2 linked regions of the Astyanax mexicanus genome follow. The protein of the gene in region 2 interacts with the protein of the main gene of each other region in a pairwise test. Links are inferred from orthologs where the notes say so. Each region holds a gene or a part of one and is shown on either strand. Other genes may lie near its edges.

Region 1 (15,849 bases), on a different chromosome or scaffold from region 2:
TAATTTAGTATAGTGCAGTGTAGTATAGTGTATATTATAGCATAGTATAGTGTAGTATAGTATAGTGAAGTATAATGTAGTATAGTACAAATGTTACAAATGTTACAGTATAGTACAGCATAGTATAGTAAATTTTGCAACACTTGGTCACCTTTTATAGCATATTTTAAAGGTTTGCAAATATCTGATATTAGTGAAACTTGATATATTCCTTTATTGTATATCTACATCTCTTACAATTAACTGGCTAAACATTATTTTATGCAGTACCTAATACGCTTTAATAAAGAAAAGTAAGTCAATTATTTTTTGTGTAAATGGAAGTGTGTAATCTTATTTTTATTTATTTATTTTTCCCTCTACGCCAACAACTTTAGTTTTTGAATGGAAAAGAAAGGCTTAAATGTGTCTTGGGTAAAGGGTGTTTGGGGGGGGTGTTTGGGGGGGGGGACTGTATTTATGTATTTATATAATATAATGTAATTTATGTGTAATGTTTGAGGTTATAAACATGCAAAAGTAATATAAAAAAACAAAATATATAAAAAAAAAGTAATACAAAAAACTAATAAAGCCGTATACACTGTACACACTATGGTCATGTCTTTGTGAGCACTGACATCATGTGGCTGTGGAGTGGAATTGCACATGTAAAAAAAAATCTTTTTGAGGTTTATTTGTAAATAATAAATGAATAAATAAGTACATAAGCACATTACATCAAAATGTGAACAGCCTCTATAAAACTGCACTAATGCCTGTTCATTTTGTGAGATTATGCCTGTTCACTTTTTCCTGATTATGTTTGGTTCATCATTTATCCATTTGTTTAATAAATTGCATGATCATAAGTGTGATCAATTTCAGGTTTGGATTTTCTTGAAAAGATAAAAATAGTTTAGAAAAATACAATGCGCATGCATATACTGAAATACTGTCCAAAATATAACCACTATAAACAATATTACTGTCATTAGGGCCATTTTAATCCACTGGGAAATGATAATATAAAAGTATAATATTGCATTTACACCATTTTAAACATGTATTAAGTCCTTTTTAAGTACGTAGAACTTTTTGCTGTAATGAAGACTATTTAAAATTTAAAAACGTAATATACTTTGAGGTAATCTGCCCCATTTTTTAAAAAACACAAAGAAAATCAGCCAAAAATGATAGATATTATTGACCTTTGCTTTATAATATTAAAATTTTACTCACCGATATGCTCCAAATCTGCATTCCATCTGTGTAGCCAATCATCAGACACAGAGGTGGGTCAACACCACTGCCGTGCATCTCCAGGAACTCTGGGGAGCGCGCCACATCTGTAAACATACAGAATAACACCTTTAGATTTTACCTTTTAGTGCCTTTTACAACTGATTTGCAGTACCATGTAGGGGCTGCACGAAATTGGAAAAATTTGACATTTCATTTTTTTTTTCTTTTCTCGACTATATATCGCGATATTAAACAATGCAGATGTGACACTTGTGCCTGCGCACATCTCGATGATGATGCTTAAACCATATATTGTGCAGACCTAGCACCATGTCATCTGTAATAGACTTTCTTTTAATACATTTCCAACTTTAATTTCACTTTACAAATAAACTGTCTGTTACTAAACTTAAAGAAATGAGCTCTATAAAACCAATTTCTAAAAGGTACAACGTCAGCATCAGTTTTTGTGCTTCTAAGTAAAGCTTCATTCACGTTACAAGCCTTTCTTTTTTTTTTTTTTTTTTTTGCTTCTGCAGATTTTTTGCTCAGATTGAATTTGGCTTCACATCTTCACTTATATAAAAGGACAGTTCTTTGAGAAATCTACTGTCAGAGAACACCTAGCCAAGCTTTATGTGCCATTTTAAAAGTAGAATTGAATTTTTAAGGCCTTTTTAAGACATCGATAAATATAATTTTAGGTCCAAAAATGTAGTCATAACTTTAATGTTAGCTAGATTTCTGCTTATCTTAGTTCTCTCCCTGGTAATGTTAGCTAACTCGCTGCTAATGTTAGCTAGCTCTCCAGTAACCTTAGTTCTCTCCCCAGGAACATTAGATAACTCGCCGCTAAAGTTTGTATGTTTATTAATTGCACCGTCTGAAAATGTTATACCTACAGCACATTTACAGTAAATTTAAATAAATTTTAGACCTTATTTACCTGGATTTTAATTTAAGACATTTTAAGACTTTTTAAGGACCCGCGGGAACCCTGCTAGTGCCACAGATTAGCGCTTTAGATGCATCAAAGTCTGATAGAATGACTGCAGTTCCCGGTTTAACTGTATGACAAATGACTAACCAACAATATGCCACGGGACAAACAATTAAACAGATATATGTGCATTAGAGATGAAACAGAGAAAATATAGGAAGGTTTAAAGGAAAAGAAAAGCGAAAGAGAAGAACATAATTTTTTCTTAAAACAAAATCGTACCGTTGATGTCTGCCTTTTCAAACCGAACCCATATGATCTTTTCCTTCTCATCTGTTGGAGGTGCACCTGTATATGCCTTAAAAACAAACAAATAGCAACTGTTTTTTTTTTAACTAAGAAAAATACATTTCTAATCAAGCATGTTTATAAACCATGTTTATAGTGAATGTCCACTCCCCTTTTGATATAAAAAGCATAGTATAAAGCATAAATCACAAAGTGAAAATTAAATAGCTATATTTCACTGCCAACCGGAATTATTAAAAACACAAACAAAAAATGTAATAGTTTGTCCTCATTTGTGTAAAAAGTCAACATATTTTTATTACACTTTTTGTAATTAATTAAATAATACTCATAGGTGCAAACATATTTTTAAATTACATAATAAGGCTGCATGTGCCTTGATGCTAAAACAGGCCATGTTGATCATTTGAATCATTTTAGTTTGATTTTTTTAGTGTGATGATGTAATATGGTGCCATATCACCCACCCCTAATTATCACATCAGGGTTCTACTTTTTTACTGTTTTTAACAAAAGAAAAAATCACACTGTTCTCATTTCCCATTATATATCTACTAGATACAGATTATATCTGTCCAGTATCATTTATTTTACTTTAATTCTGGATATATGGAGATATTTGGAGTGTAGCATTATTATTATTATTATTATCCTGATATTCTGGATCATTGACTTCTGTTACAAATCTGATAAAAAATCTTGTATTTTTTTTTTTATATCTCAGTTAGGGGTGTGTCATATCATATCATATTGTACGCAATAGTAAAATTAATTTTCATTTTGTTGCAGTAGTGTATTCTTGATTATTTTTTTTAATTCAGTGTTTTGTCATGTCGACAAGTGTATCGTTATCATGAAAATACTATGAAATATTGTGATATTATTTTAGGGCCATATCATCCACCCCTAGGGTACACTACCATTTGGGGTGAGAGGCAAGGCTTACTGAGCCACATTTATCATATTAAAGAACTGATAACGTCTATGTATACTTGTATTAACATGCTTAATAACTCAAAAGAAGCATATAGAAGAAATAATATAAAAGAGCTTACCTGAGGAACCACATCTTGCAGAAATGTCACAACACTTTCCATGTAAGACTGTTCCCTGTAAAAACAGAAAAACAGTTAAATCACAAAATGTAAAGGCAAAACAATGTACACTTTTATAGATTATATAAATTTCATTACAAAGAATGTACAAGTTAGCTTCCCTGCGTTATCCCTCTAAGCACATTTCCCATTATTTAACTTAATTAAAAGTTATTTGTCGGTTCACATTCACTGTAAATGTAAGTGATCTGTATCTGTGTGTAATGTGAACGAATCTGTTCCTGAAACACCGTCTCACATGCTGCACATTGATACCTGTATAAACGCCTCCTTCTTCACCAACAACAAAAGCCCTCATATTAGAGAGAGGAGAGACTCGTAGGTTTATAAAGGGAAATGGATGAGTTAGCAGCTCATATGTGGAGCATCTTTTGCTGGAGTGGAGAGTAAACAGCTGCTCTGAAGTTCATGTTCAGGTCCAGGAGGAGAAAAAAGGCCAGGCGGTTTGTTTTTGCTGAGAAGCACGTAGCACTATGCTAATGCTAATGCTAATGCGTAAAAGCAAAAAGACGCGCACATTCAGATTTGACCGTTAATATTAATGTCACATATCCGTGGATCGGATACATATCCGATTTAGGACTACATATGAATGTGACACAAATCTGATTTGAAAAAATAGCATTTGGCACGTTCACACAGCCATGAAAAAATCTGATCTGAGACACATTGAGCAAAAAATCAGATTTGAGTCACTTCAGTCTGGTAATGTGAAAGTAGCCTTGAACACATACAGCTCGTAAAAAAAATTAAGAACCACTTCAGTTTCTGAATCAGTTTCTCTGATTTCGCTATTTATTTATAGGTTTGTGTTTGAGTAAAATTATTTTTTTTTATTCTATAAACTACAGACAACATTTCTCCCAAATTCCAAATAAAAAAATATTGTCTGAAATAACAAAAACCTCAAATAATGCAAAGAAAACAAGTTCATATTCATAAAGTTTTAAGAGATCAGAAATAATCAATATTTGGTGGAATAATCTTGGTTGGTTTTTAATCACAGTTTTTTTCATGCATCTTGGCATCATGTTCTCCTCCTCCACCAGTCTTACACACTGCTTTTGGATAACTTTATGCTGCTTTACTCCTGGTGCAGAAATTCAAGCAGTTCAGTTTGGTGGTTTGATGGTTTGTGATCATCCATCTTCCTCTTGATTACATTCCAGAGGTTTTTAATTTGGTAAAATAAAAGAAAATCATCATGTTTAACTGCTCTCTTATTTTTTTCAGAGCTGTATATTGATATTAGATTGCACAAATTGATTTCTACTAAGCACAAAGAAAGAGCAGCATAAACACTGACTAAACCTTAAAGAATAATAATCTACAGATGAGTCAGACAACAATCCATACTGACCCCAAACAGACACGACCATAAACCAACAAACTACAGAAGAGGAAGAGTTTTGTTCTTACGTTGCAGCCTGAGCTCGAACTACGACCCCTCCAGCACAGCGGCTTGGTCTGCGTGGGGAGTCAGACGCCATGATTAATCAGTCAGTATCCTGAGGGAAGAGAGAACTGGTTAAGAAGGGCAAGTGTTGAGTAATTTGGTGTTTTTTGCTTTAAGCACTTATACAGGGTAGCCCACACTTCTTTTTAATAACTACATTACTGTCATAATTTACTACAACTTCCTAAAGTTGAACATATAGAAAAGGAAAAGATATCAACATCTATTTAAAAGTACCCTGAAAAACACATAAAAAACATAGTCAGCACTACACAACCGTTCATACAAATTACATATACACACACGTTTGTGTGTGTGTGTGTGTATATATATATACACACACACACACATGTGACATATATATATATATATATATATATATATATATATATATATATATATATATATATATATCACATATAGATCATCCACACAACACTAACACAACCATAATACACCTATAACCATCCTATTCATACAGCACCTTTAACCAAATGTTTCTATATGCACACACACACGAATACACACAAACAAATGGCAGATACATATCTTTATTACTTCTGTTTCTTTATCTCATTATTTATTATCTCATTATTTCATATATCTCTCTATTCATTCCCACATTCAAAACAAAAAGCTTATTTCCTTCTTTATTTCTTTATTTGTTTTTGTAGCTTTTGTATTTTTGTATCTTTGTGTTGTTGTTCTTTTTCTTTTTTTTTTTTTTTTTGCTTTTTTCCTTCACACCCCCCCTCCTTTTTGCCTGTTATCTCCTTATAAGTTATCTCCTTATAATATGCACAATGACCACAGATACTACAAGAGTAGTGTGCCTCTAGCAGCAGAATTTGCTTTGGCTTGACTTTTATTTTAATTACTTTCTCAATAAAACAAAAGCTGAGTCAGATCTGACCTAATACAGAACCACTGCATTTAGTAAAGGACAGTGGTCGTTTCTGCATATTATAAGGAAAAAATTGTATGAGCAAAACAGGATAGAGGCAAAACAGGCAAATAGTACAAAACAACAACAAAAAGAAAGCAAAACAGCATAAAAAAAAAATAAATAAATGACTTTTAGGAATGAAAATATGACAACATCTAATCAGTACTATGTTTGTTTGTTTTGTTTTGTTTTTTGGTCACTGCAAAACTGTGGGTTAAGGATTTTAGGATTTTTGCTAGTTAACTAAATAACTAGTTAGCTAGTTAGCTACTTCAGTGAACAGTTATTTTGGTCCACTTTAAAAACAGCATGAAGCTAGTTAAGTTACCTAAGCTATCTATCATTCTTTTTCAACACATTTCATAATATACCTATTCACAGTTAAACATTATTTTAAACTATATTTTAATGCAGCAGAAAACAGATATAAACTCTTATCAGCTGTTTATATCTGTGCGGATTTTTGGAGTTCTGGCTCTCTCATTCAATCCTAAGAAACTAACCTATCTACTGAATGACTGGCTTTAAATGAACGAGACTATAGATATGCAATACCAACACATTGAAGTATTAGTTAGCTACCTAACCTAAGCAAAAATGTACTCCTTGCCATGAAATGCTTTTAAAGACAGTCTGCTCACACAATGATGCTTAAAATACTTAAAATAATTCATATTCTTTATCTAAGGAGAAAGAAGAAATATAAAATTAACTTTTAAATATAAATTGTAACTAACAAAGTACTTAGAAATGTAAAATAAAACTATAAAATATGAATTAACAGTGTAAGAAATACTACTCGCAGGTTGGTTAGCTTAGTTACTTATTGAGCTAGTTGGGTAAGTTAGCTACTTCAGTAAAAACAGTTATTGGTCCACTTTAAAACAGAATGAAGCTATAGTTACCTAAATAAGCTATCATTCTTCTTCAACACAATTCATAATTAAGTTATTCACAATTGAAAAACATTATTTAAAAGCATATTTTAGTGCAGCAGTAAAAACAGATATAAACTCTTATCAGCTGTTTATCTCCCTCAGACATTTCAGCATAGCTTAGCTTTAGCTAGTTAGCAATACCTCCTTAAACCATTGTGGACATAATACAGAAATAATTATATAAGCAAAATAACAGGCATACTGATATATAATATCTACAAAGTATAAGTAAGTATAAATTAGCTAATCTAATTAAAAATTTACTACTGTTCTAGCCATCAACACTATCATATCCTACTACTAGCAGGTGAATTAGTTAGTTCTTTGTCTATAGTGCAAGTTATTGTGTGTATTGTGTATATTGTGTAAACTGTAAGGTTAACTGTGTATATTGTTTTTTATTTTATTATTCTACTGTGTTGTAAATATTGTTCTCTGCATGCTAGTGGGAACCTGCTCACAAACTTTTTCATTTACCTGTACACCTGTATTTTGTGACGTTACAATAAATATATTTAATCTTGAATCTTATTTATCTTGCTAGTTAACTAAATAACTAGTTAGTTAGTTAGCTACTTCAGTGAACAGTTATTCTGGTCCACTTTAAAAACAGCATGAAGCTAGTTAAGTTACCTAAGCTAACTTATCATTCTTCTTCAACACATTTTATAATTAAGCTATTAAACTCTTATCAGCTGTTTTATCTCCCTCAGACATTTCAGCATAGCTTAGCTTTAGCTAGTTAGCAATACCTCCTTAAACCATTGTGCATATAATACAGAAATAATTATATAAGCAAAATAAGAGGCATACTGACTATTAATCTATAATATCAACACAGTATAAGTTCTAGCCATCCACACTATCAAATCCTACTACTAGCATGTGAATTAGTTAGCCGTTTGTCTATAGTGCAAGTTATTGTGTTTATTGTTATTGTGTGAGTTGTGTATACTGTAAGCTTAACTGTTTATTTTTTATTTTATTTTATTATTCTACTGTGTTGTAAATATTGTTCTCTGCATGCTAGTGGGAACCTGCTCACAACGTTTTCATTCACCTTTACACCTGTACTTTGTGAAGTGAAAATAAATATTATTTAGCTTGCTAGTTAACTAAATAACTAGTTAGCTAGTTAGCTACTTCAGTGAACAGTTATTTTGGTCTACTTTAAAAACAGCATGAAGCTAGTTAAGTTACCTAAGCTATCTATCATTCTTTTTCAACACATTTCATAATATACCTATTCACAGTTAAACATTATTTTAAACTATATTTTAATGCAGCAGAAAACAGATATAAACTCTTATCAGCTGTTTATCTCCCTCAGACATTTCATCATAGCTTAGCTTTAGCTGTTAGCGGCTAACTGTCCCTCTCTCTCAGACACACAGACCCAGCATTACTCTGAACACAGACAGTAATATCTGCAGACCCCGGACTCCCTCACACACACCGCTCCGCTCAAACAGCGGGAATAAAAACAATTTACACTCATATTTACACTCACCTGCAGCGCTGCGCCTCAATTCAGCTCTATAAACACAGATCTTCCCAAAACGCGACAACAACACCGCGCAGGCTACGTACAGCGGAAACAACAAACCTAAGAACCAATGGCAGCGCCGCGCCGCGGGCGACCGACCAATCACATCGCGCTGGAGGCGGTACAGCTTCCACGTTCAAAGCCAATCAGATTGAGTCAAGAGCTGCATCGTTTCTTTCAGTCACTTTGGAATAAACAATAAAGTTTAGAGGAATGTAACTATACACAGTGGATTGTCTTAAAAAAAATAAAATAAATAAAATAATAATAATAATAATAATAATAATAATAATAATAAATAAATAAATAGCATTATCATACAGACGCATGCATTTATTTAAATTATTTTTTTTATTTTAATTAATGTAATTGTTATATTGGATAAATACTCCCAAATGAATGACTAAGCACTTGCGTAAGAAAAAGCTCTGAATAAAAGCGTACATATGTAGTTAAATGTAATAGTAAACATCATATTTTTATTCTTTTGTAAAAGAAAAGGAAAATGCAGACCCTCTTTCGATATGTTTATTTGTGAAGTTGCTTATATATTTTTATTTTTTATATCTTTTATTACCATATATGGTAAAGCAATAAAATAAAAAATAAAAATATATTATTTGTCCTTTAAATGTATTTATTATGCTCCTTTGTCATATGCATGTGTATCACCTCTTATTCTTTAATTGAAAGTTGCATTAATCATGATGCACTTTAACCTTTTCTCCTTTTTTTAAAGCACTGATTTTTTCTCCATTTATACTGTAATTGGTGGTGATTAAAAGAAAAATATGTTTGTGTGTGTGGTGTGTGTACTGTGTGTGTGTGTGTAGGGGCAGTTCAGGTCACGTTGCACATATTTGGCCAAAGTAAATACAGTACATGTACCACAAGGGCTACAAAAATGCTGCAAAAAATTACTTTTTATTGTGTCATTTATTTTCATAATATGTAAATAAAGCAAGATTTAATTTTTAAAGCTGAGATTTAATTATTTGTCTATTTACAGTAAAGCTTGTGTGTTTGTTATATGGCCAAATATTAAACCTTGTGTTTTGCATGTGGTAATCAGTGTTGTGATAATCCAGTGTTGTGCTGAAACATTACTCTAATTTGACAACCTCACCATTCTACTGACTGTATTTTGCAGTCATATACATAAATATTATACTCTGTCAACATGCTCATGTGGGGCTAACGTGTGTGTAGTGTGCATTTTTTTTTACAGGGGCCTAGTAGAGCTTGAGTTGATTTCACGTAGGTCCCATCTAGAACCCCTGTTCATTAGTTGTTTTATGCTGTTCCCAGCTCCTAATCATAAAGCCCAGTTTCCCAGACAGGGATTAAGACTAGTCCTGAGCTAATATAGTGATTGAACTGAACATACCCATTATAGCCACAAGATGGAGCCAACACATAAAACATAAGGATACAGTAGAGCAATGTATTACAATATAACAGTATTTTTCTGCACTTTTTAGTGCATTTCCAAATGAAATATATGAAATATAAATATATAATAATATAATTATATATTGTTGTTTATTTTATAAACTATGGACAACATTTCTCCAAAAATATAAAATAAAAAATATTGTCATTTAGAGCATTTATTTGCAGAAAATGAGAAATGTCTGAAATAAGGAAAAAAAATATAGAGCTTTCAGACCTAAAATAATGCAAAGAAAAAAAGTTCATATTCATAAAATGTTTTAAGAGTTCAGAAATAATCAATATCTGGTGGAATAAACCTGGTTGGTTTTTAATCACAGTTTTTTTTTCATGCATCCTGGCATCATGTTCTCCTCCACCAGTCTTACACACTGCTTTTGGATAACTTTATGCTGCTTTACTCCTGGTGCAAAAATTCAAGCAGTTCAGTTTGGTGGTTTGATGGTTTGTGATCATCCATCTTCCTCTTGATTTTATTCCAGAGGTTTTCAGTTTGCTAAAATCAAAGAAACTCGTCATTTTTAAGTGATATCTTGTTTTTAGTTTTACAGAGCTGTATATATATATATATATATATATATATAGATATATATAGATATATATAGATATAGATAGATATAGATAGAGGGGTGTTGTGCTGTGTGAGTACAGGAAGTGTGGGTGCTGTCAGGCTGGACTGAACGATCGCAGGGAGACATTTCTCTGTGTTTTAGTGACTGAAATACAACAACCTGACTGAAGCTGCGATGAGATAATGCTCAGTTATTGGTAAGACCTTCTTTTAATTTAGTTAATTTACACAGATTACCCTGAATAACGCTTAATAATCCTTATATCCTTATTCTTCTGCTTAGTAACTCAAGGTCGCTGCTCCGCTGCAGCAGCTAAGATACAAACACAGAGACTGTCTATGTGTTTACACCGTTTAACTAATAAATAAATAGCTTATATACTAAAACACAGGGAATAACAGACTCAGACAAACATACAGCAGGGCTTTAAACTCTTATAATTAAATGCAGGAACAGAGCTGAGCTAAAATAACCGCGTTTACAGCGAATAAAAGCTGTATATTGCAGAGGTAAACACAGCTAACTGAAGCTAACCTACCGTTAGCCTCTTCTCCATAACCTTAACCTTAACTAGCTAAAGCTAGTTACCATAGTAACATAACCTAGCTAAACAGCAGTGAATGAATAAACGATTATCTATCGATTAATATTTATTGATTTATTGACCCACTGAAATGAGCTGTACCCCTGTATGAATGAAGTATCTGTAAATATAGACTGTATCTGACAGCTGCTGTTCGTGTTTTATTATTTTTGCCCAAATTATTCAATTATTAACTGTAATGTGCTGCCCTGTGTTACTGTAATGTAACGTTAATGTAATTTAGCTAATTAACTGCTTTAAAATGCACCAGGTATCACAATTCTGCTTTTTATAACATACTGCGATACCATACTGTGTTGTATAAACGTGAAAATACAGAAAATAGTGAAAATAATGTGCTCTGTTCGTCATTGATTTCTTAACCCTCCTTTTACATTTAAATTTACTAGATAACTTTTTTTTATCCCAGGAGTCAATTTGACCCCAGCAAGTTTAAACTCTGGAAAAGGATCATATAATAAATAAAACTGTTACCCACGTTTATGTCACGTGCTATATTTGTTTAACTGCTTAAAATCCTTAAAAAAATAAATAAATAAATTGATGGTATATTTAGTTAAGAGAAAAAAGTGTTCAACTATTTAGCTGTATTATTATTATTATTATTATTATTATTATTATTATTATTATTATTATTAGCTGTATTATTATTTTTTATTTATTAGTAGTAGTAGTAGCATTATGACAAATGTTATTTGTATAGCACCTTTTTAAACTCCGCCCACAAAGTGCTTTACAGAAAATAGAATACAAACAGAAATGGCTTATGAAAACTTATGATGCCTTTATGTCACCTTTGCCAGAATAAAAAGAAAAATAGCAAATTAAAAATACAATAAAAACACCAGTCAAACGTTTGGACACACCTTAAATTAAGTGTTTATCATTCTTTTATTTTTTTTCTGCATTGTAGGTTAATATTAAATTCATGCGAACTATGAAGAAAAACATGAAATTGTTTACTAAGCAAAAAAGTGTCCAATTTTTATTATTATTATTTTATTATTATTTATTTTTCTATGATAAATGATATTTGTATAGCTCCTTCTTAAACACAGCTCACAAAGTGCTTTACAATATACAAAATAGAATATAAACAGAAATGACAAGGTTGTGACGTCCTTATGTCACCTTTGCCAGAATTAAAAGAAAATAATAAAAAGTACCATAAAAATAATTTAAAAAAAACATTTGAATTGATTGATTTATGAATATAGTTCCCATACTCTAAAGAAATGAAAGATATGCTATATTAAAACTGAACAGCCTTGAGTACATCTACCACAGGTGTTTTGTATGAATGCATTTTATTTGTAGTTATGGCCACGGACATATTACAAACAATATTACATGTAAAGAAAACACCTTCTGTATCTAACCTAAACATCCAGGTCAAGATCAGCTTTTGCATGTTAGTGGGTTTTGATGTGCTTAGCTGTTTTTTGACGTCCAGAAAACTCAAAGCACTTAACAACACAGCAATATAGGCCTATCGCAATAATTCCAATATCGATTTATCATACAATAAATGAACATGACCTCAATATTTTTTGATAATCGTGATATTTTTCGTCTATTGTTATTATTTGCATGTTTGATCACATATATAACAGTGAACAGTATTTTGACAAGTCATGCTTCAATAACTGTTACTTCATAGTATATTTTTATGCTATTGTTATCATTATGTCAGTGGCATTTAATAGTCTTAAAATGACAAAAATATTGTGTATCGCAATAATTTCTTAGACAATATATCGTCCACAAAAAACCTTATAGTGACAGGCCTACAGCCATAGACAAAAGGTATAGTGCATAAAAACAAGCATGCATACAATCACTTACACGTTACAGTGCAAGTATTTAAATAAAAAAAAATGATAATAAAATAAAATAAAAAAATAAATAAAGTATACAAGTAAAGATATATTAACAGCAGTAAGCTTCCCTAAAAAGATGAGTTTTGAGTAAAGAGTTACGGCTGTCTGCAGCACAAATATTTCTGGGGAGCTGATTCCTTAATATAATGTCCAGTTAAATCCACTTAACATTTTAATGTCCATTGCATTAGAAGCCTGTGTTTAATTTTTTTTATATATTTATTTGATATTGACCTTTTTTACGTCACAACCCATTCATACATAATAGTACATAATAATAAAATAAACTCTAAAACAACAATTAGCAACAATTAGCTTTTATTACTTTGCCTCGTTGGCTTTAGAGTGCTGCTACACTCTAATCCCTGAGCTGCTGTTAAATGACTGTTTCATTGGCTTGTCAACTTGTTCATTGGCTAGTTTTTGCTCTATTCTGATAGATTCTGTTAGTTATTTGCAAAAAAAAAAAAACATTAAAAACTAAATTGCACGATGTCCATTGTAATAGACGCAGGGTTTGAAAGGAATAAACCTCTTTTTGTCAGGAACGATAAATATAGGACTGTGTAAATGATGATGAGGCTAATTAATGTGAACAAAGATGGAAATAATGTCTTTAGATAAATCTGTAAAATCATATTTTTACACAAAAAATAAAAAAACACACAGATGCACATCACTTGGATTCTTATTCCAGTTTCCATTTTCGCATTAAACACGCATCAATTACACGCTAGCTGCTTTAACGTAATAAGAATGTGAACTGCTAGCGTTACTTCTGCATCATTTTTAAGGGAAAGAGGAACAGTGAATACGGAGCTAGTTTCTGCTTTCTCATTTCTGTGAGTCTTGCATGCTCTATTACAAAATTATAATTATAATTAAGTCTTTCCATTAGTTCTAATAAGCATTCTCATGAGTTTACTCATGTTTTAAGTAAGATTAGTTTATTTAAAAGGTTATACTTTAATGCAAATACCAGTTAAATTAGTGAGAATACAAAAAGCACAATACTATTAGTGTGAGAATTATAAGGGAGCTATTTAAATGATGGCCTCATTTGGAGATTTGCATATTCAAATTAATGATGCCAAGCATGAATGGCCAGTAGTTTTAGGGTATTTTCACTCCAGCACTGTTTGGTTCAGTTAAAACAGACTCTGGTTGGTTTGTACCCTTAGTGTGGTTCGCTTGTGGTGAGAACGTGATCTGGTCTCAATGTGACTCTATCTCAACTTATACACTCCTTTTATTTAAGCAAAACTGCTGATAAGGTGCAGTTTAATCTGATATATTAGCCAGATAATGCTAATTATCACAGCTATGAACAAATGCTGTATCTGCTGCTCCATGCTGTTTACACACTGAGCAAGGGCTGTGCAGTGTAGTGTTCACTGCTCGCAGCCACGTGACCTTGTTTAATAAATGTACATCTGCAGTGAACGTCTTATTAAAAACACTGTGTTTAAAAGCAAAGCAGCTTCACACTGCACAGATATACAGATATACACACCGGAACACAGAATTTTTTCCATATATTTACTTTCTTGCTCCCATGCCAGACAGCTCTGACCAATCAGAGGAGACGATGTCCTTGCATGGTTTATTGGTGCGCTTTTTTTTTTTTTTTATAATTTTATTAAATTTTTTTTCCATTTTTTCTCCAATTTACAAGGCCAATCACCCCACCCCCTCATCAGGACACCCCCAACACACCAGGAGGGTTAAGAAGACTAACACACGCTTCCTCTGATACATGTGAAGTCAGCCACCGCTTCTTTTCCAGCTGCTGCTGAAGCTGTAGCATTTCCGAGTAGCATCACAGCGCTAACACTCGGAGGAAAGCACACAGACTCGGTTCTGAAACATCAGCTCACAGACGCCCTGTGCTGCAGACATCACCCTAGGAGTGATGTGGGGAGAGAGCGCCATCTACTGTACCCACCCGGAGGGAGCAGGCAGCTTGATGGTAAAGCTGCATGAGCGGGGGTTCGAACCTGCGACCTCCCGCTCATAGTGGCAACGCTTTACCACTCGGTGCTTATTGGTGCACTTTTTGGTGCGTTTAGGTTTATGCCTGTGTAAAACCAAACCAAACAGAGGGAGAAACTGAAGCTCCAAATAAACACAAACTCATCAACTGATCCGGATCATAGAAACCAAATTTAAAAAAAAGTAAAAAGCTATAATGACCATTCTTTTAGGTAGGAAAGCCATTTCTCTCACCCCTTACTCTGTTAACCAATGTTGGCTTCAGTTCTGTTTTCTTTTCTTGTTAGCTTATAAACAATTGTACGATGCTTCCTCAAGGTGAGAGGCATAAAAATCTCATTTCTCTTATTTTGTGTGTTTTTAACAAACAGTGTTCTGTAATGTTTTATATTAGGTGGGGTCTGGAAGGAGAACAGAATGTGGAGATTTGGGAGGACGACCAGAACAGGAGTTCTGAAAAGGACAAGATCCTGTGGAGCTCAAAAAGACAAGCTCCAAAAAACATACCCAACCTTTACACAGAGAAGTACAGTTATCTCATTTATCTTAACTGCCTTTATATACAATCTGATTAATTTACAGCTGATTTGCATTCAAACTCTAATTTCTGTTGATTTACTGATTTGCATTATATATCTATATTCTTTATAAGGGGCTAATTTAAGTCTTCCTCCAGTCGGTGTCTGTCATGCCAGAAAGACTGGGCCATTCTTATTTCCTGAGTAAGATAATATGAATTGAACAATCTCATAACAAATAGTTTTATTATTTTTACTTTTTATAGTATAAATGAATAATTGAAGTCATCTGTCTTCTGTAGGTGGATCGGTCTCTTTGGAAGTTCATGGAGTTCTTCATCCTGTGCCGTGAGGTTG
Region 2 (16,031 bases):
CCAGATGAGTCACAGAGTCAAATAGTATGTCCTGAAAAAAAAAGAGGACAAATTACGATTATTTAAACAAAAGTAAGGACTGAACTGTCAAGCTGCAGGATCAATACCAACAGCTACAGCAGATCATAAAGCATTGCAAAGCCATAACAAAAATAATTATGCCATCCAGTGCTATGTCTAAAATCTAATAAGGTGTCTAAATGATGAATGGGTATATTAACAGGTTTTTTTCCATTTAATATTTGTGTTAGTCAAACAGTGGTGTGCAATTTCAATGAAATGGATGGCAGTGTATAATAAAATAAAATAATACCACTATACCATTACAAATATCACCTATATTACAATCATTTAACATTTTCACATCTCTGTTGTGTTTTGTGAGACAAGCTCTAGGATACTAATATTGGAGAAGTTATAGAATGGTTGGATGTGCGTGAGATTACTGTGTTTGCCACTGTTTTATCCTACAGAATATTTAACAATAGGAAAGATTAAGCTAGAATTGGTATTTCATATATATTGCAAGACATGGAATTTAGATATAGAACTGAAAATGAAAGGAAAAAAAATATGACTAGTAAAGCAGGAGAACAATATTCCAGAATTTAATGCAAATATGACTTGAATTAAGCATCAGTAAACAGTTTTCGTGAGTGCTGTCCTAGCCGCTTCACCATAGTTTAGTAAGTAGCATGCATAACTCGGAGTAGCAATGATAGAAATGCTATTCTCCCTATTACAAGCAGGTTAAGCATTACAATTGTGAGGCTTTCCTTAGGTGAGTTTTTTCTTGTATATTACTAGATACACCTAGAAATCTAGTAGTATTTGGAAAATCCAATTTACTGTCATTCGTTTGCAGTAATTTTCTGAAACACATTATAAACCCCAGTGCGCGGTTTCTCACTGCAATGTATATATGAATATAGGACTTTACGTATGATTATAATGAAGAGAAGGAAATGATCAGTTACTGGCACAGGTATTAGCCACAACAATGTGGTATTTATAGGTTATTACTGGCCAAGACCTCAAAAGCACTGCACGAAATCTGCTGGTTTTCTGGCAACAAAACTTACCACTCCCAGGGTGAAGTAGTTAAAGAAGTAGTCATTACACTTGGACGGTACTTGTTTGTGAGGAGAGGGAGAATGGATCTTCATCTGAAAAGGTAGAGAGGTTATAAAGAAACACATGTAAATCTTGATACGTGCTTCTCAGCTGAACATGAAACCAAAGATAAAACTTGTTTGATGAAAAAAAGTTGGTTGTAGCTTTACTACCTTGTCCTCGGACTTGTAGAAGACTTTGTGTGGAGAGCCCAGAGCACTCAGGACGTCCTGACAGGAATCCCCAAAATAGATGTTTCTATCCATGGCCCGCACTTTCGCATCAGCCATTACTCCTGGACCACATCCTAAGCAGGAATATTCAACATGCAACTCTGAACTTGGGACACTGTTGGCACACTGAATTTGTTTTAGAACATATCGCCTCTCAGTGGAGAGGAAAAACAAAGTTTTTATAGATCTCACAAATATTCACAAAACTAATAAGAAACCACATAAATACCTTTCCACAAAGTTGCTGTTTTAAAACAACAGTATAAAATCAAGTAAACAGGAGAACACTGGCATCACAGGGGACGCGGCCAAGTTCTGTACCTGCAGTGAGAAGCCGCAGTCTCAGACCCAGTGGCCCCGTCGCATCCCTCAGAACATCTACACACTCAGCATACACATTACCCAGAAAACAGGCTAGGGGCATTACTGGAGCCCTGAGAGGGAGAAAGAGAATGAGAGAGAGAGAAAGAGCGCTAAGTGTTTGCTGCTTGAACCTAATTCAACATCCTGGTCATTTACAGCATCTGAAAGGAAATGGTACATTAAATAATACTCGTACTCTGATCTCTGATGAGTCCACTCTGCACTCTAATGTACTGTACAAAAATGAAGAAATAAATAACAAATATATATATAGATAGATCTAAGACAGGGACAGGGATAAAGCCTAGTTTTACACTGCATTGTTCTTTCAATAGGAAATATCCATACAATATGCTGCACAGTCCAAGACTAGGTTTAATCCACGTCTGGAAAACAGTCCCATTAGGTTTGCAATACTGTACCACAGGATCTATTAAAGCCTGACCACTAGATAGCAGTGTTGTCCTTTTTTGAACACTTCACACACGGTGCTGATGTACAGGCATGTGTACACACACAAATACACAGAGCTCTTACTTGGTCTCTTGAAGGTTGTTTCCAGTGTAAATGTACATCCGCTTGACTGTAGCCCCATGAGGAATCTGCAGGGAGGCCAAGCCATGGGCAAAGTTAGGCTGTCAAGGCAAAACAACTAGGAGTAGTTGCACGCATGTGTAGGTGTTGCTTTGTAGCAAACAAGGCCAAAAAAGAAAGCTGGCACATTCATAGCATAGCATTATCAAGCAGCTAATTACAGCTCTGGATCAACAAGAGCTATATAAATAAGCTTGACTTAACGTGACAATTTTCTCTCAGTGATGGGCCAAACCTTAGCTGGTTGTGTAACCAGAGAACTCAGTAAGTCATTCTTTGATTAACTGTATGATTGCAATACAGACTGAACTGCTAATACTGAACAAAACCATGAATAAAACAAGAATAACACATACCAGTAAAACACTTATAATTAAAACATCTGGACTATAAAACCAAGATCTGAAATATATATTTGTATAATGGCCATTGTTTTTACAATGTTCTACTTTGAAACTGCCTAGGATTCTGAAAATGTACATAACTGAGATCCACAAGGTAGCAAAAGTCCATTAGAAGACAGCAAAGCATCACAACAAATTGTTCTGAGAAAACTGATCATAAGACTGCTATAAAAGCAAAGCCAAACCACATTCTGTTGACACTGTCCTAATCTATGTCCTTTATGGAACAATCAAGAGAATAGAACCTTTTACCTGTCCTTACCACAACATTTACTGTGAGACCATTTTAAAGAAGAATTTAAATTAATACAGCACCAATAATTCTATTACTGTAGTTCAAGGTCTTAACAATGGCTCTTAAAGCAATACCTTCAGCAGACTACCTTACACTTGTGGGAGAACTACTGAAAAATAAATGAGAAGAAAGCGAGCAAAAGCAATGTGTTAGTTCTTCTCAAGAGACTCTTCAAGACAGAGGTTATAACTAGAGAGGAACTGTTGACAGTTTATGTAATAACAAATGAGATTTACAGTCATTGGTTAGAACGTGCAATACAATTAATATCATCCATGAACATCTAATTTTAAATGAATAAATTAAGGTAATAAATAATAAATCAATACTGGTCATGCTTATTTGCCAACTCATACTGGACTAACACATACAAATGTGATTTGTTGGGAATGATTACTAAAAAAAAATGTGATTAATAGCATGTTTTAATGGCTGCACTGCCGAAATCTTGAAAAAGTGGTAAAGACTTTGCAGAAACAATCAGAGACAGTTAGAGCAGGGCTCAGCGGGGGGTTTTGACTGGCTTACCTCATACTTAGGGGCTTCACTCCATGAATCTAGCTGAAAGGAAAAGGAGAGGCCACGGAAGTTCAGATGGAAGAGCTGTTCTGCAGCATTGTAGACTGGGAACATAAAACAAAAACTTAACACCAAAACCTTCTTTCTGAAATGTTTTAATGCATATTGATGGACTACATTTGAAAAAAGTTATTTTACTATCATCACACATAGAAACAACGTTTAGACAAAAGCAATTCAGGCATTTCATCCAGTCCCATTGCCAGAGATAGCCATGCATTCTGCATTTAGAAACATTAAAGAAAGAATTGGTGGGCACACCCTGTATGCTACCACTACAAAAAGTCAGTTGGTGAAATTTCTTCCCATTTGGATATTTCAAGCTCAGCTGAGAGTTGTAATATTGATAAGTAGACGTGATTAGGAACCATAAAAAGTTACAACGCAGGCTAACAGACAGCAGAGGAACATAGTACAGATAAGTCTGCAATGCTCTGCTGAGAGTTAGAAGCTGAAAAGGGGGAACCTACACCATATTAAATGACTTTGTATTTAGAATGAGATTTCATAAAAACTTCACAAGGGGTCCCAATACGAATGATATACATAGTGTAAATGAATATTTTGGATGATAAATAAAATGCCCAGGTTTGCATTGTTCCACAGTTGATTTAAGCATAAAGTGACGAAATCTGTATTTTTTAAATACTCTTTACAGTCAGGGAAAAAGACTGAAAGCATTACCTCCTGGGTGAGTAGCGCCAAAGGACTGGTCAATCTGCTCAATGGTAGGTGCTATTGCCTGAGAGTTAAAATGTACTCCACTGCAAAACAAAAAATAAGTGTTTGTGCAGAACTGAGGTGACACACTAACTCGCATTAAGCCAGTTTTTTGTCCAACAGATGGTGCTACATCTCATTAAGGTCCCTTTAGGCCACCATGCATTTTTTAAAAGATCAGTTTAACATAGAACAAGATGCCTTTTCAGTGGCCAGTGAATGTACAAGTGTCTTGGTGATAACATTTTACACACAAGTGCACAGTTGCCAGCAACCCATTTTTGCCTGGCCCTGCTCTTTTCTTCTGTTTTCTTCTGACTGAGGAATCAATATTCAAGCTTAAAATTATAGGCGCACAAAGTAGCATTTAAAATAAATCCACTTACCAGTATTTCAGTTTCACTTTGCTCAAGTCGTACACTTCAATTACCTGCAAATACCAACAAACATTTAGTGAAATGGACAAATATATGTTAAAAAGCATAGACAAACAAACATTAACATGATTTGTTCCAAACCTTTAGTCTCTGGTTGCAGGCATCAAACAGCAGTTTAATTCCATCCTGAGTCAAGTTGAGTATGAGGTCGTGGCTGAGTGGCATCTGCAAGTCAGAAGAATAGGTCAGATTGAAGTAGAGGATGTAAATGACACACAGTTGCACAGCTATGCATTATTAATTTTCACCTCAACCTGTAAAAAAAACAAATTCTGTTCAAACACTAGATCTTTCTATGTTTTTTCTCACACAATAATGATCTGTCTGGCCTTACTTGTTCGCTGTAGAGCACCTGGACATTCTTGATAATTCGGCAGTGCTTCTGTAAGATGGAAATGGCCTGGGCCAATGGCATCCCTTCAAACAGATACAGGGGCAGACAGTGAGTTATTTCCTTGCGTTACATGATTACTTGTATTAAAATTAAAAAATTTACAGTGAGCAGATCTGTTCAATGGAACAATTTGCCAATTCAAAATAAGAGACCACTTGAAAATGATGAGTTTCTTTGATTTTACCAAATTAAAAACCTCTGGAATATAATCAAAAGTGAGATGCATGGCCACACGAGTTTTTGCACTAGGAGTGGCAAAAAGTTATCCAAAATCAGTGTGTAAGACTGGTGGAGGAGAACATGCCAAGATGCATGAAAACTGTGATTAAAAACCAGGGTTGTTCCACCAAATATTCAACCTTGAATGAGAAGTTGTTTTCTTTGCATTATTTGAGGTATGGAAGCTTTGCATCTTTTTTGTTATTTCAGCCATTTCTCATTTTCTGCAAAAAGACAATATTTTTATTTAGAATTTGGAAATGTTGTCTGTAGTTTATAGAATAAAACAACAATATTCCTTTTACCCAAACATCTACATATAAATAGCAAAATCAGAGGAACTAATTCAGAAACTAAAGTGGTCTCTTATTTTTTTCCAGAGCTAAATGTGAGGCAATAACTGAACAGAGCAGCATGAGCTGAGTGCAAATAGACATGAGGTAATTCAACCTTTGTTCTAAGGGGATTTTCCTAGCACTTGTTTCTTACCTAATGCGAATTCCCATTGTTCATTTCCCAAAGATCGCTCAGGAACCACCTCCAGATCCAGCATTGGGTTTTCAACGGGGTTCTCGGACTGTGCCAGATCTGGACCTGTCCTTCCACACTAACTAACTAGTTAACTAACTAACACTGAGCGGATGACAGAGACCCCGCTGTTGTTACGCAGCAGCTTTTAGCTCCGCCTCTCTTATAAGAGACATCAACGTATAGCTAACTAGATAACGTTAGCTTGTGTCGTGAACAATACTGTCAAAGCTAAATAAACAACACGGCTTTCAGTATTAACGAAGTTAACGTTAAAATACCATCCTAACTTTTCTTACCCACGTTCAACAGTGTCAGCGAGTTTATTGGTTAAATAAATAATGTGAAAAAAGTAGCCTAGCTAGCTAACCTATCTAACTAGTTACCAAGGTAACGCTAGGTGGCTGGGTTAACCTAGCCAGGTTAGCTAGCTACCCAAACACAATCGAAATTGACGAAAAAAATCTTTAAAACACATTAAAAAGTGTGTTAGGTTAAGTAGCTAGTTAAATATGAAAGCTTCACCTTGAATAAAAAACACAGGTAAACTTAACCCTAGCTTAAGTTAGTTTTGTTAACTTAACCTAACTGCCAAACCAGAACAATAAATATGGACGATCTGACTCACGAGTTCAACAGCGTTTACAAAAAGAAACAAAGCAACAACAAACAGGTTTAAAACACAACCCGCTGAAAATCTGCTGTTACACGGCAGCTCTGAACTCCAAAGTCGAGCTCTGCCAAACTTACAACCAGATATCCAGTCCGATGATGCAATCTAGCCCCGTCTCCTGAACTGAAAACACGTCAGCTGTCGATTCTCACTAACAATAAAAACAACACCGTTACTCCTCAGTCTGCCTGTCGCTCTACTTCAGCGCTGTGCTCTTTCTGTCTATCTCCTATCAGATATCCAGGCGGTTATCTCCGTCCCGCTGAGGTCGGAAGCAGCAGGATCCGACTGGTGATCTGTCCGAAGTGAGCGGATCCGGCTGTCCTGCGCCGCCTCGCCTTGTTGTTTTTCTCTTTTCTCCGCTCGGGTTCAGCAGCAGCAGTAGCGGCTCCGGTGGCGGCGGACAGACAGCTCCGACACCGCGCTCCTCCTCCTCACACAGCGCTCCGCTCCGCTTCCTCCGGCGCTCCGCTCCGCGCTGCCGCTGTGCCGCGTGTAGCCGTGCTGTGTCTCGGTGCGTGTCCGGCGCTGAGTGCTCTCTCTCGGGCTGAGGAGAATAAACAGCCCCGCTCAGCTCCCACCGCAACTTCCATCAAAAACACCAACATCAGCTGATACTTCAGCTTCCTGTGCGGCGGGAGGAACACTTCCGGTGGTGCCTTTTCAAATTAGCAGTCATTAAACAGAGTTAAAACATTGAACACGCCGGATACCTCACCATTTAGCCCAATTTAACTGATTAAAAAAGATAACCTAACCTAATTTACTTCCATTTAATACATTATTCCACATGCCTCATTCTCATATTTGAACCCCCTTTATATTATACTATAACGTTACTGTCTTCAGTTTACTATTTTGTGGCCTCAGTATATTATACTGTTCCTCAATTTATTACTTTGTTGTCTCAGAATGGTATATATATATATATATATATATATATATATATATATATATATATATATATATAGAGAGAGAGAGAGATAGAGAGAGAGAGAGAGAGAGAGAGAGAGAGATAGATAGATAGATAGATAGATAGATAGATAGATAGATAGATAGATAGATAATAGATAAGATAATATCTTGTGACCTAATTATACCTATATATTAAGTTGTATGGTTTCTTGTGGCCTCAGTATATTATATATATTATTATTAGATACGAAATTGACACCATAAGGTAATACATTACAATACATCTGTGGCCTAACTATATTATCATTTGGCCTTAATAATTGTTTTCTTTTGGCTGTAGCATATTATTTAGAGGCCACAAGATACAAAATTGAGACCATGAGACAATATATTACCTTGTGTTCTAAATGTATTTTTGTTGCCTCAGTATATTATCTTGTATCCTTAATCACCTTTTTTCCTGTGGCAGTAATATGATATATCAAGGCTATAAGATAATGTTAACAAACATGAATAACGGTTTGACATATTTGCTCAGAGATAGCAATCAAATCTTGGGGACACCCCTGGCCTTCGAATTAAAATAAAAGTAAATTCTGCTGTCACTTATCTGATCCAACACATGAAATGCTTGATCATTTTCTGACTAATGAAGAATACCATATATTTATATATATTGGTAAAAATAATATGTCACTTTAGTCACTGTTCCTACTGAAACCGTTGCCAGATATGCTCTCTCTCTCTCTCTCTTTCTCTCTCTCTCCCACCAGAGGGCAGCATGTAATTGACTGTTTTAATGGGTGCACAACTGAAAAGTTATTTGAGAAAACTGCACAAATTAGGGGCCATTATCCAGGATATGTACCTTCTCTGTACCCACAGTATTAATAACTCAAATAAACTTGAGGATAGTTTTCATTGTGAGCTTACTTTTTTTTAAATCCTGCTTTAGGGCACTCCTTGTTCTGAACACTGGCAACTATTTACTGCTTCAGAAACAATTGATCCACCTCACAAATAACTTGCAGTGAATCAGAATCATAATTTTAATGTTTAAATCAGTTTGCTAAGAGCAGCTGTACTCGGTCCCCTTAAGGTCTGCAGTTTGCCTCCCCTGGCTGGTGCTGTGCTGGATGGGGATCCTCTAATTAATATATTACAAATTAATATATTACAAATTGGGACTGTAATGATAATGATATAGTTCTAAATTTAGTCATAAAGTAACCTAGGGGTGTGATGAACCAGTGTTAGGATAATCACAGTGCAGGATAACTCATTCCACATACAGCTGATGATGATAGGAAGTTATTTAGTTTGCTCACTAAACTGCAGTGTGAAATCACAATTAGGCAATGTAACAAACATTGATACAGGCTCCAGACTTTCAATCCAGACTTTCGGGTGTGAATACAGGTATGTAATTGGAATCAGACATTAAACAGTATTATGGTGCCAATTTGTGAATACAAGTAAGAGTTAAGATGCTTTGGAGTTGCATGCATTTAATGTCAAACTAAGAAATGCAGAACCAGCAAATACAGCAGCGTATGAATTGAAAGAAGGACATGAACTGAGCTGTTAAGGTAATATTACAGGATTTTACAAAAATATTAATCATTTTGCCAACATCAAGCAGTTCTTTTGAGAGGTCTCATTCAGCTCTATCATAGCACAGTACTGATGACCCAGAGAGACAATGATTCTCCCTAATATTTGAAGGTAAATTTGCTACAGATTGTTGTATAAAAAGTTTCTGATCAGTTTAGTGTTTTTTTTTTGTTACTTATTCGTGCAGAGTAAATCACACACAGAACGTATCTTACCAAGACAGATTCATTTGCTGGCATAAAAAAAAGTTAGTGACTGCTGTCAAACAGAAGAACATGTCTGGTCCCCACACGTTGAGGCTCATTGCTTGTTGGGTCTGGTATTTTGGTCTAAAACTTTATGAATCACTGTCTGTGGAGAGAAAAGTCAAACTCAGGAAAACTTCTAAGTTTATCCATTGAAACCTCCAAACACGTAATGTAATCACGGGCCAGCTGTGTGCACTTGTAAAGTTGTTATAATCCCCCTCACTCCTATAAACAGGAAAATACATAATATAAAGCATCATGCACACATCCACAAATAATATAGTTTACCCCAGTGTCCAGCCAAGTTCTCCTTTTTTGGAAATAGCTGCTGTCATAGGCCCTTTCTTCCACCCTATTCTCACAACTGTGATGCTTCTTCAAATGTGGACCTAGTTAAGATTATATGCAGAATCTGCACTCAACACAACTTTCCACAAGTGTTTCATGAAGCTCCACAGACTTTCCTGTGAACAAAACCTTACCTCAAGTATTTTAAAATAAAAAACAACAAAATTAAATTAAACAATGAAATGAGATACACATATGGATTATGGTGCAGGTAGACACAAGGTTGTTTTTTAATATGCATTCTGGTGTGTTCTTGAGTGTTATCTTCAACTGTCTAATTTACATTCCTATACTCAAGAATACCAAGAATGATTGATTGGTGATTTTCTTAATGAGAATGAATGGATTTTTTCATAATTTACTGCAAATTCTGTGCTGACATGAAGGCAAAAAGATGTTAAATTGTGAAATCTTTCATCCAAAGTTCACAGTTCACTTTAATTAAACAGTATGAAAGGCAGATTTTACCATTATAGAGTACATTAGTATAATTTAATATAAAAAATATAAAGTACACAGCATCTCTATAGCTGTCATCTGCTTTTGTGTTTTTGCAATTGTGTTCTTGCAAGGTCACTTGTGAAGAATGTTGTTGATAGGAACAAATACATCCTTGTTTTTTTATATATTAAGGAACACCCCAGGGTTTCAGTGAAAACCATGAAGGTCTGTTAAATGTTATGACTTTTGATTCTCAGAATGTTTAATCTGTCTAGACTTGTTTTACCATTATTGAAGAGTCATCTTACAAAAAGTAATGCAATGTTATTATTATGCATAAATAAAATCATGTCTACGTTTAATTAGATCCGTTTTAAAAGGTTGGGTGTGTAACGTTGTAACGCAAACGACTAATACATCTAATTACATTTTAATTATTTAATTAACGTTATTTCTGTAACTTTATTTCTCTATAACGTCCCTGGAACCTTTTTAAAATGTTCCTGAACGTTCTTCTAACGTTTCCTGTTCGCTGGGAAAGTGCTGCGAGCCTGAAGTTATTTCCCTCTTTACATTCTCTTGTTTTCTCTCCAACCAGTCCCTGAAAGAAAGTCCCAGAAGAAAGCGGTCGCGGTCGTGTTTGCTTGTTCTCTCTCTGTGCGAGCAACTCTCAGCGTCGAGGGGTGGACGTGATATTTCAAACATCAGATCAGCGCGTTTATGTATTGGGTGCCCGGAAATTTTTCCAAATAAACACAGCTTGATTCGTCTTGGGTGGGCAAGACTTATCAACAGCCTAATTCTGTAAACAAATGAGGGGAATAAGCGAGCAAGCCATTGGCTGGCTGCGAGGGGACACGAGGCTGAGAGCTGGGGCGTTCCCCACCTGTATTCCGGCAAGCTCCGCCTTTCTGGGCTGTGATTGTCTACGAGTCTTGCGTGTGTACTGAGACGGTCTGAAGAAATTTAGACTCCTTATTTTTTATAGAGCTTTGTGGATCCATTCATGATTCATGATCCTTTATTCTTGGTTTAAATGTTTTTTTTATAGTTCCATTATAGTTATTATTTTTCCAATCAGACTATAGACTATAGGGCTTACCGTAAAACAGGTGGAAAAACAACAACTATGCCGGAAAACGGGTATGAGAAGTCAAAGCGGCCAATAGTATCATTGGAAGGGCGTGGCTTGTCTTGTGTGGGCGGGGACACCCTGAAAGCGGGTGTAAAGCAAAACAGCGGGTTCTCTCCCGCTCTCTCCAATGAAACTTTTAATTAATGTGGGTGGGCTTGAGAAGCCAGCGAGTGTTTATCATAGCCGATTTATTTTCCAGCGCTAAGTCAACATAAAACAGCAAACGTACAACGATTATTTAACATTTTTCAGAGAGAAGGTAGAGCGAGCCGCTCGGCCACCACAACGGCAGCTCTATGGACTCAGTGTGCCGCTCTTCGGCCGGGCTGAAACTCTCGTCCAGCAGCCAGTCATGAGTCTGTACCACCACCGCTCAGCGCAGGCCGGCCTGGGCGCCTCGGCGCTGGGCCTCAGCGGCTCGACGCCCCTCATCTACGTGTACGGCGGCGAGTTGGGTGGCGTGTTCCCGGCGCTGGGCTTGGCCTCGGCACGCCGGGAGCCCCCGCAGAAACCGCCCTACAGCTACATCGCCCTGATCGCCATGGCCATCAAGAGCGCGCCCGAGGAGCGCGCCACGCTCAGCGGCATCTACCAGTTCATCATGGACAACTTCCCCTTCTACCACGACAACAAGCAGGGCTGGCAGAACAGCATCCGCCACAACCTGTCGCTCAACGACTGCTTCGTCAAAGTGCCGCGGGAGAAGGGGCGCCCGGGCAAGGGCAGCTACTGGACGCTGGACCCCAAGTGCCTGGACATGTTCGAGAACGGCAACTACCGGCGGAGGAAGAGGAAGGCCCGGGGACAGGAGGAGGCGCGCGACGACAAGGCGCTTCAAAAGAGGGCTCGTGGAGGACACGCACGGGTGGGAGCGCGCCCTGTTTCCAAACTCCACGACAAGAAAGAGAGGTTTGTGGCGGGAGAAGGGGCGCGAGATGAAGATTATGAAGATGATACGGAGCAGGAAGAGGAGGAGGAGGAGCAGCATCACGGGGAGAGTACCAAACTTGCTGTCCGGTGTCATGGAGAGGTGCGCGCACCCAACTCCTCCGCGCGCAAAAGCTCCACAACTGGCAAGCCTGGCCACTGCGCGATCATGTCCGTCTCTCCGTCTAAAAGCCCCGCTTCTCCCCTGCAAAAAAACAAAACGGACCCGGAGAGCCTCGCAGCGCGCGCCCCGCTGGCCGGGAGCGCGCCGGAGCCAGAGGTGCGCAAGGCGACGGACAGGGCGAAGGCGTTCAGCATCGAGAGCATCCTAGCGCGGAAGGTCGGCGCGGTCCAGCGGAACTGCGCGTGCTTACGCACGGACGGGGCGCGCACACCGGCGCTGCCTCCGCCGCCGCTCGTGCTCGAGCCGCTACACTCCTACGTACGCGTGACGTGGCCTGCCTCAGAGAGCGCGCGCTACAGCGAGGAGTCTGTAGAGAGACTGTACTGAGTGAGCAGCAGCTGTGGACAGAGGCTGGACTGCTAAGCTATACGGGCCATCAGGTATCAAAGGACAATTCAATAATCACCTGTTTATTCCCACCTCCAGCTGAGAGTAGATGGGGCTCATTTAGGATCTATAGCTTATGGCATTTGTAACAGCACGAATTGTATTATGTACAGTACTGTACAGATGTTTCAGGCACCTGTAAAGGACATTATTTAAAACAATTAATCTCAGCAATAAGGAAGTTTCTGCTGGTACAAACTCCAGATCACACTAAAGAACAGTGCACCTGCAGTTCTTCATTTGTAGAAAGTAGATGAGATCCAATCAATTCCATCACCTGCTCACCTGATTTAATATATTACTAAGGGCTGATTTACCAAATCAGTTGCTGGATGATAACTGTATGTAATACAGTTCTATGTAATACATATCTATGACTCCACAATGGGTCTTTTGGAGATGTTTAAATGAACACATTAATGTAAAATTATTTTTTTCTGGATGAATGTTATTATATAAGTGTTTTTTTACTTAATAAATAAAATCCTATTGCCCATATAAATAGCTTTTTAATTCTGGCATTCTAATATATATGGGATTTCACAGTGTTAATTGCAATCAATTGCAATAAATCTGACCTTCCATAATGTCTGCTGGTGCAGTTTAGGAATGTTGTGTGTAAAGCAGCACCATTTATGCATTTATGTTTTTCAAAAAGGTTGTTTCCTATTTTTATGGAACACACTGTGTAAAGGGCTGTGCTATAATGGAAAACAAACATAAACTGACATTGTAATATTGTTTTCGTGTGATATTACAACATTAAGACTCAAGTATTTTCTCTAGATTTTACCAGAAGTCAGTGATCCAGCATGTCATGCTATTTATAATGCAGTCTGTGTATTGGAGATTGGAGTAAATTATGCTGAGCAGATGTGATTGACTGTTGGAGATATATCATGTAAAACAAGAACAGTATGAGTTTGCATTTAGTATTAAGCAGCAAAAAAATGTTAATTTTCTTAATGTGCCCATTATACATACACATTCTACATACACTGAGATGGGGTGGCTAAAACAATATATTGTCCTGAGCTATCTGATGGCCCACAGTACCTGAATCCAGCCCATAAGTTCTTTTTTGTAAACTTTAAACTACAGCTTTTTATTGTAATAACTGGATAAGATTCAGTAACTTTAACACTTTAATATTTTATACAGAAACGCTTGAAAAAGACATAACCTGTCTTCTCCGTAAAGTGAAGTTTATTATTATTATTATTATTATTATTATTATTATTATTATTATTATTATTATTATTATTATTATTCAGGGTTGGCACAGCCTGGGTGGCCCATTTGCAGGTTCATGAATGGCTGACAGTAGTTACTCCTGTTGATGGATTACCCGCGGAGAGCCGGGCGACGCAAACCCTCGCGGATGTTGCTGTGTAAATGTAAATGTTTATTTGAACTATGGTTTTTATTATGCTCCTTTCTGCACTTGTAATAGGAATACAAGACAAATTACAAATTGTATAATGCCGTAGCTTCTCTCCTCTCCTTAAGTACCTCATGGATGAAAACAGTTGTGAACCTTTTTAGTGGGAAAGGAAACACAGCAAGGGTGAAACTGTCTGATTCAGATGTTAAAAGGAAGAAAGACTGGGATGCAAACACAACTGATGCCTGTTGTATAAATAAAGTGTTGTTTTTCCACATAAGTAAATACGTTTGTTCAGATCTACGTATGTCTTTGTATAATTTATCGCTCAAAACCCACTTTTTTTTAAAAAAAGGATTTGCTTCTTTAAGAGACATGATCTTGAACAGGACAAGGTCATTTTGCTCACAATTTAGGCCTAAATTTCATGATGTGAACCTGAAGGCTCGTGCCTATTTTGTGAGACCAAATACAGAAGCTGAAAACACTTTTAAATAGAATTCCTCAATAAATTTTATTTATCTTTAGGACAAAGTCTAATCTTAGTACAAAGAACCAGCCCCTTCGGTAACCGCCGCCGCCGTGTTCACTGCCACTATATATAGCCATGATTCTCACTCAGCGCAGTGGCCTCACACTGCAGCCTCAGAGAGTGCGAATCAGGAATGCTCATGGAAATAAATAAACTTCCCCACATTTGAGCAAGGGGAACTCACATTCACAAGCATTTCCTGTGTATAGGATTCTTTTGGTCAGAAGTGTAAATAGAACGACATCCACCCAACATTTGGAGAGAGAGAAAGAGAGGGAAAGAGTGAGAGAGGCAGTGTCTCTCAATCAGCGGCTCCCATCTGTCCTCCTCCTCACAGATGGGCTCCTTAGATGGAGCAGGCGGTGACGCTGGCTGCTCTATAGGCCCGGACCACTAAGCCCACTCTACAGCCGGCCAGTAGGATCTCATAAGCCCGTAATGAAGGGAAAATGATAGTCAGTTCAACTCATTAGGACTTGATGTCAACATTTACACTCTACACCCATGGCTGCAGATTGTACAAAGTGCTCTCAAATAATTAACTCTAATAAACAGTGAGATGGGGCATTTAGTCAGTGACCAGGTCTAGAGTCACTGGACTCAGCACACTCAAAGGTACTGAAGCTTACAGAATGATCTGTTTAGTGTTTAAAGGTTTGTACTAGAACCCATTCAACTCATTCAAAACAGGTAACCTTAGCAACATGCAGGACTCTACTACTAGTTAATCATTACATTGTGACCCTTACTGTATATCTATTATATGCTAGAACTCAAAATATTAGTCTAATTTGTCAATACAGAACATTTATGGAAATTAAACTGCAGATTTTAATTTCAAAAATCATTGTTTTTGTGACGACATTAAAACACAGCACATTTGCATGTATCTCATAAGGACTGTTAGTGCCTGTGACTAATCTTTGTATTAACTACAACAGGGGGATGATAATATGATTTTTGTCTTTTAGAATGAATTGCAGGCATAAAATGCAGGAATGCATGTACTGTATATTAAGTTGTTCAGAAACAAACATGAAATATCTATATATAGTTCATGCTGTCTGCAGTCAAATAAAAGCCAATGTAAATGTAACAATCTGCAAACAATGCATCCATGAACAACTCTTATTATGGGGTAAAAAGGGAAAAAGTTTGGATTATAAATAAAAAAACCATGGTACCAAAAAGGCAAAATATTATTTGTTTGAAAATATTACATAATATATAATTAAATAAAACACTGTAATTGTATATGTTAGGATCAACTTCCAAAGCTCTCATTAAAGAAGGACAGTATTTACAGGTTCCACCCAGCACCCAGTGTTTATAGATTTATTTGTTTATTAGATCCTGGTAGAACT

Evidence for each region.
Region 1: the proteins of phaf1 (region 2) and bcas3 interact in binary tests that used the Homo sapiens proteins (3 or more experiments, as listed by UniProt). The link is inferred for Astyanax mexicanus from reciprocal best matches to the Homo sapiens genes PHAF1 and BCAS3.

The regions. Positions count from the first base shown.
Region 1 is NC_064425.1:940,714-956,562, forward strand, and holds the start of bcas3 (breast carcinoma-amplified sequence 3), read right to left. Parts: upstream 8,526-15,849; 5' UTR 8,439-8,525; intron 5,097-8,438; 5' UTR 5,079-5,096; coding exon 5,008-5,078; intron 3,584-5,007; coding exon 3,529-3,583; intron 2,523-3,528; coding exon 2,447-2,522; intron 1,329-2,446; coding exon 1,222-1,328; intron 1-1,221. Other genes in the region: nlrx1 (NLR family member X1), read left to right, coding at 15,392-15,500, 15,627-15,696, 15,795-15,849. UniProt on the Homo sapiens protein: Plays a role in angiogenesis. Participates in the regulation of cell polarity and directional endothelial cell migration by mediating both the activation and recruitment of CDC42 and the reorganization of the actin cytoskeleton at the cell leading edge.
Region 2 is NC_064416.1:22,468,798-22,484,828, reverse strand, and holds the start of phaf1 (UPF0183 protein C16orf70 homolog), read right to left. Parts: upstream 7,175-16,031; 5' UTR 5,905-7,174; coding exon 5,841-5,904; intron 5,156-5,840; coding exon 5,073-5,155; intron 4,904-5,072; coding exon 4,820-4,903; intron 4,732-4,819; coding exon 4,688-4,731; intron 4,346-4,687; coding exon 4,266-4,345; intron 3,626-4,265; coding exon 3,531-3,625; intron 2,345-3,530; coding exon 2,247-2,344; intron 1,781-2,246; coding exon 1,668-1,780; intron 1,421-1,667; coding exon 1,287-1,420; intron 1,167-1,286; coding exon 1,083-1,166; intron 32-1,082; coding exon 1-31. Other genes in the region: foxl1 (forkhead box protein L1), read left to right, coding at 11,606-12,691. UniProt on the Homo sapiens protein: Plays a regulatory role in autophagic activity. In complex with BCAS3, associates with the autophagosome formation site during both non-selective and selective autophagy.